Bombyx mori: one gene and its partners. The protein of the gene in region 2 purifies or fractionates together with the protein of the main gene of each other region. This does not show direct contact. Links are inferred from orthologs where the notes say so. Each region holds a gene or a part of one and is shown on either strand. Other genes may lie near its edges. The genes, in order: serine/threonine-protein kinase RIO3, Rack1 and vigilin.

What was found.
Region 1: the proteins of Rack1 (region 2) and serine/threonine-protein kinase RIO3 purify together in Homo sapiens (affinity purification with mass spectrometry; 3 studies listed by BioGRID and IntAct, counting the BioPlex papers as one, with this or other methods). This does not show direct contact. The link is inferred for Bombyx mori from reciprocal best matches to the Homo sapiens genes RACK1 and RIOK3.
Region 3: the proteins of Rack1 (region 2) and vigilin purify together in Homo sapiens (affinity purification with mass spectrometry; 3 studies listed by BioGRID and IntAct, with this or other methods). This does not show direct contact. The link is inferred for Bombyx mori from reciprocal best matches to the Homo sapiens genes RACK1 and HDLBP.

What each region holds. Positions count from the first base shown.
Region 1 is NC_085109.1:1,624,793-1,629,041, reverse strand, and holds the start of serine/threonine-protein kinase RIO3, read right to left. Parts: upstream 2,854-4,249; 5' UTR 2,667-2,853; coding exon 1,338-2,666; intron 1,306-1,337; exon of another isoform or gene 328-1,305; coding exon 1-327.
Region 2 is NC_085109.1:3,348,219-3,352,441, reverse strand, and holds Rack1 (receptor for activated protein kinase C RACK 1), read right to left. Parts: upstream 2,879-4,223; 5' UTR 2,804-2,878; coding exon 2,695-2,803; intron 2,436-2,694; coding exon 2,227-2,435; coding exon of another isoform or gene 2,221-2,226; exon of another isoform or gene 2,085-2,220; intron 1,976-2,084; coding exon 1,769-1,975; intron 1,436-1,768; coding exon 1,184-1,435; intron 895-1,183; coding exon 712-894; 3' UTR 562-711; downstream 1-561. UniProt on the Homo sapiens protein: Scaffolding protein involved in the recruitment, assembly and/or regulation of a variety of signaling molecules. Interacts with a wide variety of proteins and plays a role in many cellular processes.
Region 3 is NC_085116.1:8,390,315-8,393,968, forward strand, and holds part of vigilin, read right to left. Parts: intron 1,459-3,654; coding exon 1,243-1,458; intron 1,164-1,242; coding exon 957-1,163; intron 871-956; coding exon 655-870; intron 577-654; coding exon 393-576; intron 208-392; coding exon 77-207; intron 1-76. UniProt on the Homo sapiens protein: Appears to play a role in cell sterol metabolism. It may function to protect cells from over-accumulation of cholesterol.

The DNA of each region.
Region 1 (4,249 bases), about 1.7 Mb from region 2:
AATCTTGACTTCATTACCAAAATTGGCAGCACTATCAACAGTTTTACTTTTGGCAGCATGATTCCACATTTCCTCAAATTCATCTTCTTCATTATCATCACTTTTATCACTTTTAGCTTTCTCTTCATTGGTTTTCTGCCAACAATATTCAAATGGATAGCTAACGTTTCGATTATCATCGGGGGCGATTTCAAATCGGCATGCCAGAGAATTGTATGTGGTATGAACTCCTTCCAATAAGTTCACATCAACTTCATTAAAGCCGGTTATTGATTTAAAAAGTTCTTCTGCAGTTTGCACATGTGAGACCCCCTTTTTTTCAAAGAACTGTAATGAGAAACAATATTAAACATTTTAAAGTATTTTTATACCACTTTAACCCTTAAAGTAATAGAAGATAAAGCATATCTGCTGTAATAATGGTAATGAATACATAAAATTATGAAATTGAGCAACACACCATTATAAATAAGTAATGTATGAAAAATATCACCACTTGAATTGTTTCATCACCACTTGAACATTGTTTTTATGTAAACTCATTTTTTTTGGATTTCTTTGATGTTATTTATTGAATAGATTAACAAAAATAGAATTAGATGTTAAAAGGAGCCACCAAACTTGACACAATAGGTTGTGCTCAATTTGGCTGTATAACGGCTGACTCCGTTTTATTTTTTTATTGACCTTGTTGGCATACGGCTAACCTGATGGTGAGTGGTTACCGACCTACTACTACGGGCTTCAGCAATGCCAGGGGCAGAGCCAAGCTGCTTCCTACCGTTGATATTACAGCAATTTACTTTTTATAAATTATCTATGTTGGTGTATATCTATGTTATTTATACTGGTATATTATGCCTTCACCGTAGGAGAAATTCATAAAATTGTTTTAAGATCAATTGAAAAAGTATCTGTCAGATTTTTATTCCTTACATATTTAGCACTATAAAAAAGGCCAGTACTGAGAATCCTCATCCTGAAGTCTTCAAGCCTAGGAGGCTTTTTTAAATTATATTATTACATATTTAAGCCTACGTATATTTATATTTTTAATTATATAATTAATAAAGCAGTTTGAAACCTGTTTAGTTGAAACCATTTTATTTATTTATAAAGAAATGATTCAGCTTTACTCCTAAATAATTTAAATTTAATGTAAAAATAGATAGATTTAGTAAATTTTGTGTTATAATTAATATAAAAATAAATTAAATTTTCGCATGCCTAAACAGGCGAAATATATGAAGCTATGTCCTATATCTTGTAAACTATATTTCTGGCGAATAAAGATTTTCTTTCTTTCTTTCTTTCTTAATAGAAAACGTAATACTCACATTGACAATATTACGACAATCTCGAAGTAAAAACTCCAACCCGTTAGGGTGGTCAGGTTGCACAGACTGAGAAACATCAATAAACCAGCATTTATTATCCCACCAGAGAATGTTATACTCTGATAGATCAGCATGAATCAGATGACCAACATTGTACATTTTATGCATACTCTCCACAACCTCATTGTAAACACTGTGCCATTTATCTGACCTTAAGATTATGTCTCTTAGCTTGGGGGCTGGCTTGTTATCCTTCCCAATAAATGACATTAAAAGTATATGTTTCTTCAAGCAGATCATATCCGGACAGTTCAATCCTATCTTCTGCAAGCGCATCATGTTGTGCATCTCCTTCTCAGCCCACATGTGTACAATTTTTCTTGGATTTTGTTTCGAGAAGCGATCTTTGAATCTATAATCGGCTTCTATGTATTTGTCTCGAGTTTTGAACTCGTTAAGAGTTGTTTTGAAGACTTTAATAGCACATTCTCTAGGTACATCTAAGTCAGGATAAGTTGTGTCACCATTAGCATGTAGAACAACAGACTCCTTTCCTGTTGAGATGACACCATTGATATCCTCTAATACCCCATTGTTAATAAGTTTGAATAGTATCAATCTAGTAGGCTCATCCAGGCCCATTTCGGCTGTAGCTTGACTCTCCTTTCTGTCCAACATTTTATGTTTACGTGTATTGTGATATCTCGTCTGTTCTTTCAAATGATTAAATACAGAATTGGAGAGTTTCATATCGAAGCCAGCGCCATCTCCAGTGCATACTTCCGGAGGGAATGCCATAACTTTACAAGCATTCCGCCTTCCAGTGATAACACTGTCGTGTTTGGTGACCATTGCTCCATCTTTTATGATAAATCCGCGTTTCGGAAGGCTTGCGAATTCCTTTTCGTTTGTTTCGAAGCGATCCCAGTCTTTCTTATCGCCCTCAAAGTCATCGTCGTCTTCAGAGTCGTAAATCAAATGCGATGGTACGTTGCGGTAATTATCATAGGAAACGGATACTTTAGCATCTCCATTACGTTTTTTCTCTACGCGTTTGATTTCGTCATCGTGTTCTCTGTCGAACTGACATTGCAAAACTTTTGCAATAATCGCGTCAGAGTCACAATATTCCTTTGCGTTGCAGCTTTCTATTTCTTGTAACAACTCAACTGGAACTTCATTAGAGGTGCCGACATGGTGCTCAGAGAGATGTTCTGCAAATTTTATCTCTTCTCTAACCTGAAGGTCTCTTGCAAATTCTTCAGACATGATATCCGACAGCTTCTGCGCCTCTACTGGTGCTGTCACTTTTTTCCAAGGATTCGACATGACTATCTTGTTTTAATTAGAATAAAAAACAATGTTAAACAATTTATAAATAAACTTGTAGAATATTTTATTTCTTAAATTATGTAGTATTATGTAGGTACCTACACATATGTTTAGCAAATTCAAGACAGATATTAATAACTGTATAATCTGTGGAAGACAGGCAGACCATAGATTATACACTACAACATAGATACCTATTATAATACACTTCATATTTGAAACACTAAGGCTGTTTTCCAATTAGAGCACAAGAGCGCATTATGTGGCATAATGCTCAACTAAGCTTCAGCATAATTCGGCATTGTGCGTTACTGAGTCGCATTATGCTCTGTAATTGGAAAACTACCATTAAGTAATGGTTAATTTACAGTCGCATTATGCTCTGTAATTGGAAAACGCATAATGCGCGCTTGTGCTGTAATTGGAAAACGGCCTTAATTAATAAGTGTACCTACTTATGCTTCAAACCAGACCTGAAACAGACTATGAGCAAACTAAGATGTACAGTTTGCACATACCTAAATAATACGTGGACACGCCGTGCGTCGTCATTGTGGTGTCAGGTTATTTTATTATATTATCAGGGCAGTGCACTTAGCAACACGCACTCGTTAAGACGTTACCATCTGTGCTTAACCGACATAATAAAGGTGCTCAAACAACACACTAACTCTTTGGAACTCAACAAACTTCCCCTTGGACCCCAACATCTTTTTTGGTCCTTCGAGCCGGATTCTCGCATGTTTTTTGTGTCTCTTACAACAGTGGCGAATCGGTTCGGCTGGCCTCTCACAAGCGAGAATCCCCAGCTGCATTGAGACAAGGGCGCACACACTGGGTAAGAGTGCATAAACATAGTGAGATTTGGATACGACCAATTTATCAAAATTGGATCTTCGTGTCGTGAACTACGCCTAGCTGTACTTGTCACCGTCAACTACGTGCCAAGTTTGGTGAGCTATCACATTATTTCATAACATCAACATGGATAAACTTGAACTTCAATCAACTTGTTTCGAGAATATCAAGACTTTGTGTACAAACTACCGCAAAGATTCTTCGTCTCGAAAAACTGAAGAGTACCTCAACATACGTTTGTCATCTTTGGAAGAACAGTGGAGAGACTTCGAGGCGAGAAATGCCTTATTACTACTGGAACTGGAAGACAAAACTATACATTATTTCTCTGAAGACGTTTACAACAAAACTAAAGAAATGTATCTAGCAACAAAAACAGACATAAACAACAGACTTAAATACTTGAAACAGCAAAAACATAGTGTGAATTTTGATTTAAGTGACATTTCTGTTGACTACACTCAAGACTGCGAGGACGGAAAATCTGAAAAAATACAACAACTTTTAAATAAACAAGAATGCAATTTTAATGCGATTTATCATGCATTGTCTAAAATTGACATCATTAGAACTAGTGAAAAGTGGGAGCTGGAAGATAATTTTAACATTTTAAAATCGAAGTGGGAGTCCATCGACAAACTGCACTGGGAAATTGACTTTCAGCTGAAGGGGTCTAACGATCACTATTACCGCATGTACTCAGATATCGAAGAAAAATATGA
Region 2 (4,223 bases):
AGATTTTTGAAATTTACTTCTTTGTAGTATTCTATGTTAGAAGTTAAATAGTTAATTATTAATATGAAATAAAATTCAGGTGGAGAAAGAATCAATGCTAGGTTTCATACCACAGCTGCATTGTTTTAACCATCTAATCTGTGGCTAGTCTACAGACAGAAAGCGTTGTAAATAAGGCACTGCTACTCTAGTCCTTTAAGCTAATTGCAGTTAACTGTGACATCTTGATCCAATTAACTGTATTGTGTACATTTATTTTTATATATTAGTGCATACTGTTTGTAACCATAATTTCAATTACTTTTCCATTGAACATATTTATTAAATCTGAAGCTTTAAAAAGAATCTATTTTTGTAGAGAATTATGATTCACTACAGGGGTTGAGGTTGGGTTGGTTTTGTCATTATCCTTTTGTATTTTTGTATGTAAATTTACATTATAATAAATAAAGTCATTTGGGTACGAAAAGGTCGTATTTTATTTACATAACAATACATTAAAATAGGCACTATTCAATTTCTTATCTTAAACTTACAAGGAGATCAATAAAATGCTAGTTTGGAAAATTTACACAATTTCATTTATTTTCATCCTTAACATAATTCAACACCGTCAAGAATTGGAACAAGTAGAAAAATCACTTAGAGTCAATCATCCAAGGAATGAGTAAAGAACACAAAAATAAATGAAATTAATGTTGACAATTAAGCTTATCGAGCTGAGATGGAAACCTGCCACACTCTTATAGTATTATCTGAGTAACCAGCAAATAAGGTTTGTCCATCAGTAGACCATGCTAGGGAGAGACACTGAGGAGGGTCTGTCTTGGAAGTTTGCGTTTGGTTAATGATTTCAGGCCTGAGCTCTTCAACCATCTCCTTGCTTTCCAGATCCTGTAAAAAAGCAGTTTAATAATATGTATTTTTTTAGAAGTGATTTTTTGTTATTTATATTTTCCAAATATATCTTTAACAGCTAAAAGACATTTACAGCTAGATATGCTTGCATAAGTAGTACCCCCATTTACACCTTCAATCACTTTCGACAGAATCCACCAGGTTGACAATCTACTTAGAGGGCATCACTGTGGTACCTTCCAACGCATGGTTGGCACTTATGAATTATAGAACCTTAATGGAAAATATTTACTCAATTTTAGTTATTAATTAAATCGATACATACCCAGATCTTGATGGAAGGTCCGAAAGCAGCACATAGCCAGTATCTGTTGGGTGAGAAGCACAAGGCCGTGATGATATCATTGTGGTCTAAGGTGTGGAGGTGTTTGCCATCGTTCAGATCCCACAACATCGCCTTCATATCCTTACCACCAGATGCACACAAAGAGCCATCAGGTGATACAGTAACAGTGTTCAGATAGCCAGAGTGACCCAAATGGTTAATCTTGAGCTTACAGTTAGTGAGATGCCAGACCTGTGCACAAAAAAAACCATTGATTAAGATTTATATAAACAGATTCCTAGAATAAGTTTTTTATTTGTTAGAACTTTAATATAAAGCTGAACATTCATATTTACTTAAATTTGAATTATGAAAAATCTATAATTAGGCTCATGAGGATTTGTATATTAGCTTTTAGGTATTCCTCAGGAAGTCTTTTTTTTTGGATGAGACAAGTACCTAATATATTTTTCAACAGCTGTGAACGCTAAACGATAATTAACGAACTAGATTAGACTTTTGATACATCTAAGCATTGAAGGAATCAAGGCAATTTATAACCCTTTTCATAAATAGTACACTAACCTTGACAGTTCTGTCCCAACCACAGGATACAATAATGGGGTTGGCATGATTGGGTGAGAATCTGACACATGACACCCAATCGCTGTGTCCATCATCTTGGATGGTATACTTGCACTCCGCAAGGGTGTTCCAGAGTTTGATAGTCTTGTCGCGAGAACCAGACACTATCTGACGGTTGTCAACTGAGAAGGCTACCGAGAGTACATCCTGTGATATAAACAAAAAACTTATCAATTCAACTACACTTAGAATTGTTAACAGACTGTTGTATGATGGTCGGTATATTTACAATACTATAATTATACTACCATCTTACCTCAGACTTTTACAACACAAACACAATCTTCTGCCTCGCAAAGGCACAAAACACTGGTCTTCTGCCTCGCATAGGCACTTAGGATTATCTTCAGTGCATAATCAGCATTTACACCCTAACAAAATTAAGAGTTCTGTCACACCTTAGTATGGTCCTCGAATCGTCTGGTAGTCTTGCCTGCAGCGAGATCCCACAAACGCAAAGTCTTGTCCCAAGAACCGGAAAGGGCGTAATTACCGTCACTAGACAGCACAACATCAGAAATGAAGTGCGAATGACCGTATAAACGCTTTTGAGGTATACCGTAGTTGTTTTCGTCTCTGGTCAGCTTCCACACGATGAGAGTTTTGTCTGAAGATAAATTTCAAATTTTATTCGAATGTCTCATTTTCTATATGTATATTGGATCCTACAGTAACAAAATATTCAGCCCCATATCCGCTTGCCGCTCACAACAATCGCGTGGCAAAGTTTTACTCATCATGTTATTTTGTTGGTAAATGGTAGTATACAAGAAAACTGATACGTATTTAACCCAGGTTATTGCATATTTGCACGGTTATTGAGATAATGATTGTAAAGATGTATCTGGATTTATTAGCAAACTTACCTCGAGAGGAAGATAAGATCATGTCCGGGTATTTCGGATTAGTTGCAATTTGAGTAACCCAGCCATTGTGGCCTCTAAGAGTTCCTCGGAGTTTTAATGTTTCAGACATTTTTGAAAATGGTTTGAAGAGCGACGACTCCCTGAAGCGTCAGGTCCGGTAGCACGTGTTAAAAGAACACGAAACCTACGGTGATGGCCGACCATCGACCGCGAACTAGAGATGCCCAAATCAGTCGAGTCAAAGAGGCGACAACTTTTCAGGGTTGACCTAGTCGACTACATCGATTGTAAAACATCGCGATGATTTATGAAATCAATTTTCTAAATTATTAATCCCGTAGTTGAATAAGAGACCATTACTATAAGGTAATTTGTGATTTTTAAATGGAAATCTCGAAATTGATTTACTACTCGCTGGGGCAAATGGCCGGCGTCCGAGACAAATTGAAGCCACAAATCGAAACGAAAAATCTGTCTACTACTGCCGAGTGTGAAGCACGATTTAAAAAAAAAACAATTTTTTATATTTGAGAAATTACCGGTGGCCCGGAGGCCTTTCCAGTTTTACCAGGGCAGGTGGGCGAACAAGGGCTCAGCCAGAAAGGGTGGGATTTACTCGAGCGCCTCCAAAGGAGACCTAACAACTTGAGGGAGCTCATATAGAGTCCCTTCTTTATTTCGCCGTAAAGTCGTGTTTTATATAATTAACACCACAGTTGAAACAATATAAATTTTATTGTTGTAGCGACATAAACAATTCTAAGTAATTATATTACATTAGTTATTAAACACATTATAAATTATTTTTACGTTTTAAATTTTCGGCGGTAAAAAGGTCCCGTGTCACAGACTAAATTCTTTTACCTCTCGTGCATTCTGGCGTACGCATCATAAAAAGGTGCGTTATTGAACGCCACAAACTCAAGAACAGCTGCTTCACGAATAAATCTACTACCGGATCGGAATCGCGACCCGCTGAGAAGATCCGGCGAGAAACTCAGCGAGCTAATGCCTAGGTTAGGTTGCAAGTCGAATTCTTTGTCGAGTTCGACGAGTACGGTTATCGAAAAACCGAGCGTGCTTTATCACACGAAAGAAGTAAAACTTCTTTATACCCATCCCTATGTGTATATATATACATATATGGTTCTAAGGTCTCAGTATAGTTACAACGGCTGTCCCACCATTCAAACTGAAGAAATAGGCAGAGTACGCTCCAGGCTGGTACCTACCCGTGCGCTCTCACAAGACGTCCTACTACCAGTAATTATGCAAATTTCAATTTTTACTGGATTGATATTCATTAAACGATGTTATTCCTTCACCGTGGAAGTCGATCATGAACATTTGTGAAGTACATATTTCATTACAAGAATTGGTACTTGCCTGCAGGATTCGAACTCCGTTGCATTGCTGGATGCGAATGCACCGGACGTCTTATCCTTTAGATCACGACGACTTGTCTTCGAAGTCTTAATTCTGCATAACGAGTGCCCACTTTTGGGTAACTACCTGTGGAATTTTGAACA
Region 3 (3,654 bases), on a different chromosome or scaffold from region 2:
AAACAAGCATACGGAACTTTTGAACAAAATTTTTGCTATTGCATTAATGTGACTATATTATACACACTGTGAATACCTTTGAAAAGTCCTGAGTAATCTTTTTAATATTAGAGCCGTTCTTGCCGATGATGTATTTGTGGATCCAAGTGGGAGCATCAACAGTAGCCGTTTTTACAGAATTTGCTTTCTCACAAACCTTTGATAGAGCTAAAACATGTAAGGAATATAATGTCTGAATACAAGAAATACAACTTATTTTGCTCTTAAATAACTTAAAATAAAGTTGTGACTTTGGCTATGAACACCAGAAGCCATATAATACCAACATATTTTTGTTAACTTCACTCTATCTACATTAATAAAAAAAAAAATGTAGTTGTTATTCTACATACCAAGGCCAATTTTATTATGAGGTCCATGAAGGGTGATGGTGCCTGTAGGAGAATCCGTTGGAGGCATTTCAACAGAGACACCAGTCTCCTTAAGAATTTCCTGGATTGTAGTACCACGAGCTCCAATTACATACTTATGTTGAGACTTGGGCACTTCTACCCGAACAGTTGCACATTTTTTTACCTGATGGATTATAAGTTGTTTAATGTTACATTGCATAAAATAGTGTACATATTGTGTTTTATATATTATGTTTATTACCATTTCTTCATGTATTTGCTCGATTTGAGCCTTTGCAGCCAGCACACCATTTTTTTCCCCAGCTATAACAATCTCATCACTTTGAGTAGAAGCAGGAGGAATGTGGATTCTGGCACCAGTTTCGGCACTTAGCGCTGCTGCTCTTTCACCGTACGGCCCTTGGATGAATGGATGGTAAATTTTCGGTACTACGACACGTTCTAAAGCCTTTCGTGACTGAAAACCCAATGTCAGTGTTGAACTTTGGTCTTTATTTGATATTTTGATACTTAACAGACAAACAGAAAGTTTATATATTTTACCTGTTCCTCAGAACACACCCTGATTTCATGTTCAGCTTTTTCTATCCCTTCTTTTGTGCCAGTAATAGTTATTATTTCACTATTGTCTGAAATTCCTGGCACATTAATCTTAGTTGCAGTGACCTTTTCGAGTTCTTTTAGTTTCTGTCCCTGTTTTCCTAAGATCCAACGATAATGCTCCTTAGGGATTGAGATTTGTTTACTGGCCTGAAATTTTATAAGCTCATAAAATATTGTAAATACACCAAATGTTAATTTTTACTTATAATTTCACATCTCTTTTTACCTGTTGCTGAAAATGGGTCAAAATTTGTCGCCGCGCTTCGAGAACAGCGCTCTGCTTTCCAGTGATAAGGAAAGTTAGACTGCCATCTTTGCTGGTAGATATTTCGATGTGCGCTCCTGTATCCTTAGTTATGGAATGGCAAGTTCTTAAGGATTCTCCCTCACCAAAAGTATTAGCATTGTCAAGTTTTCGTTCTTCATATGGCACATGGAAAACCTTATGGAAAATTATCTAATTAACTTAATTTCACTTTTATTGATGTATTCGGTTTTAAATAAGAATGAAGTTTATTAATTAAGAATTATTCCTAAGTCTTATCTGATAAAAATGCTACTTTAGGTAAAATTACATATCAATCATAATTATGTAGGTAACTATTGAAATATGCATTCTCAATAGGTACCTAGTTTAAGATTTAGCATAGATATTTATAATAGATCTTTACCTATGAAGTATCCGTTTTACAATACAATTTGAAATCTATTTTATGTATGACCGGAAAATAATCTAAATTCGAATGAAATTATTAAAAATATGGAATTCTATTTTCAAATTCAGTAATTTGTTTATTGATTAGTATTTTCTTTTCCTTACATTTCGATTTTTTTCATCAATTTGGACACTAAAATATCAGCAATTATGGAATACGAGTTACGTCGCGGTAGCAATAACGTACAAACGAATCTTAAGTTTAATATGACATGTACGAAATGAAGTCATTGATTTGAACATTTCTGACTCGGAAATATTGATTTTAGAAAAGAGCCCCGTGGTCTCCTGAAAACCAAAGTCAACAACGTCGAATTAAAGGCGATAGTGGAAGCTGACGATACTCACTCAATCTACCGTTGAGTTAGCAGCAGCTTTCATAGTTAGCATCAAAACTATATCGATCCATTTGCGTTAAAGAGGCAAAGTAAACATTTGTTAAGTGGGTACTGCAACTACTGCACGAACTGAACGATCGCCAGCGCGACGAACGGCATAAGCTATGCCTCGCGTTGATTTTGAATCGCACTGTCACTTGCGTTGAAAAATGATTTTTTAATAATCGTCATGTTGGTTAGAACCTGGTTCAGCACCCGAGGCCTCAAACGAGAACATATCCCAAAAAAGTTTATAGTCATTGGTGGTTTAGTGCCCGATTAACTTATCACAGCTTATGAACAAATTGCACTGGCATTACTACGAATGTGTATTGTGGAGAAACTGGACTGGTTCAAGTAAAGGATAAGACGTTTGTCTGGTGCATTCTTATCTTGCGACGCAATGGTGTTCGAATCCCGCAAGCGGGTACTAATTTTTCTAATGAAATACGTACTTATCAAATGTTCACGATTGACTCTCACGGTGAGGGAATAGCATCGTGTAATAAAAATCAAACCCGTAAAATTATAATTTGCGTAATTACTGGTAGTAGGACCTCTTATGAGTCCACACGAGTAGGTACCACCACCCTGCCTATCTCAGCCGTGAAGCAGTAATGCGTTTCGGTTTGAAGGGTGGGGCAGCCGTTGTAACTGTAACTATACTGAGACCTTAGAACACATTTCTCAAGGTGGGTGGCGGCATTTACGTTATAGATGTCTATGGACTCCAGTAACCACTTAACACCAGGTGGGCTGTGAGCTCATACACCCATCTATACAATAAAAAAATACGATGATGAAGAAGCTCGCCAATATCCGGCCAGTCGTAGTTAATCGCTGGTTCCCAGTGCTATACAACGTTTGACTTCATACGAGACAACTGACAACAGAAGCTACAGGAGGATCGGAAGTTTTGCGTTGTCCACTGTTCTCACCAGGTTTTCGCCGACAGACTTCTGCTTTTTCTAAAGTTTGGACAACTTCTTGACAGGGAAAAATCAATACCCGAGAAGCAGTGCAAATGTCTTTGAAGAGTTTGTTAGCTCAGTACACCCGACTTTTTTATCGAAGGGCATTGGTAACTTACCACTGCGCTGGCAGATCCCATGGATGCATATTTCGATTGGTATTAAATATCAAATACTTTTGAAAAAAAATATCCATAACTTTATGTGAGTAAATAACAATTCCGAAGGTAAAAGCCTGATTTTTTCCACAACGAAAGTTTTAATCTTCAAGCTTAATAATGATTTGTTAAAAAAATTATCATGGCTTTTGACCATAACCATTGTTTTTAACCATGCTGTTGACCATGGTTATCAAAAAAGGTGTTTCTGACATCAATTTAAAAAATTGCTAGTTATAGCAAGCCATTTAACAAAATATTGTTATGTAAAATAATTAATTTATGTAACGATCTATTGGAACAGTCAAAAAGAGCATTGATGTGTAATATCAATTTACTTTTAGAGGTGCAGTGAAGAACCAAATCAAAGTTTATTACTATGTGTTGTACCTAAATTACATTGCACAAAATATTGCT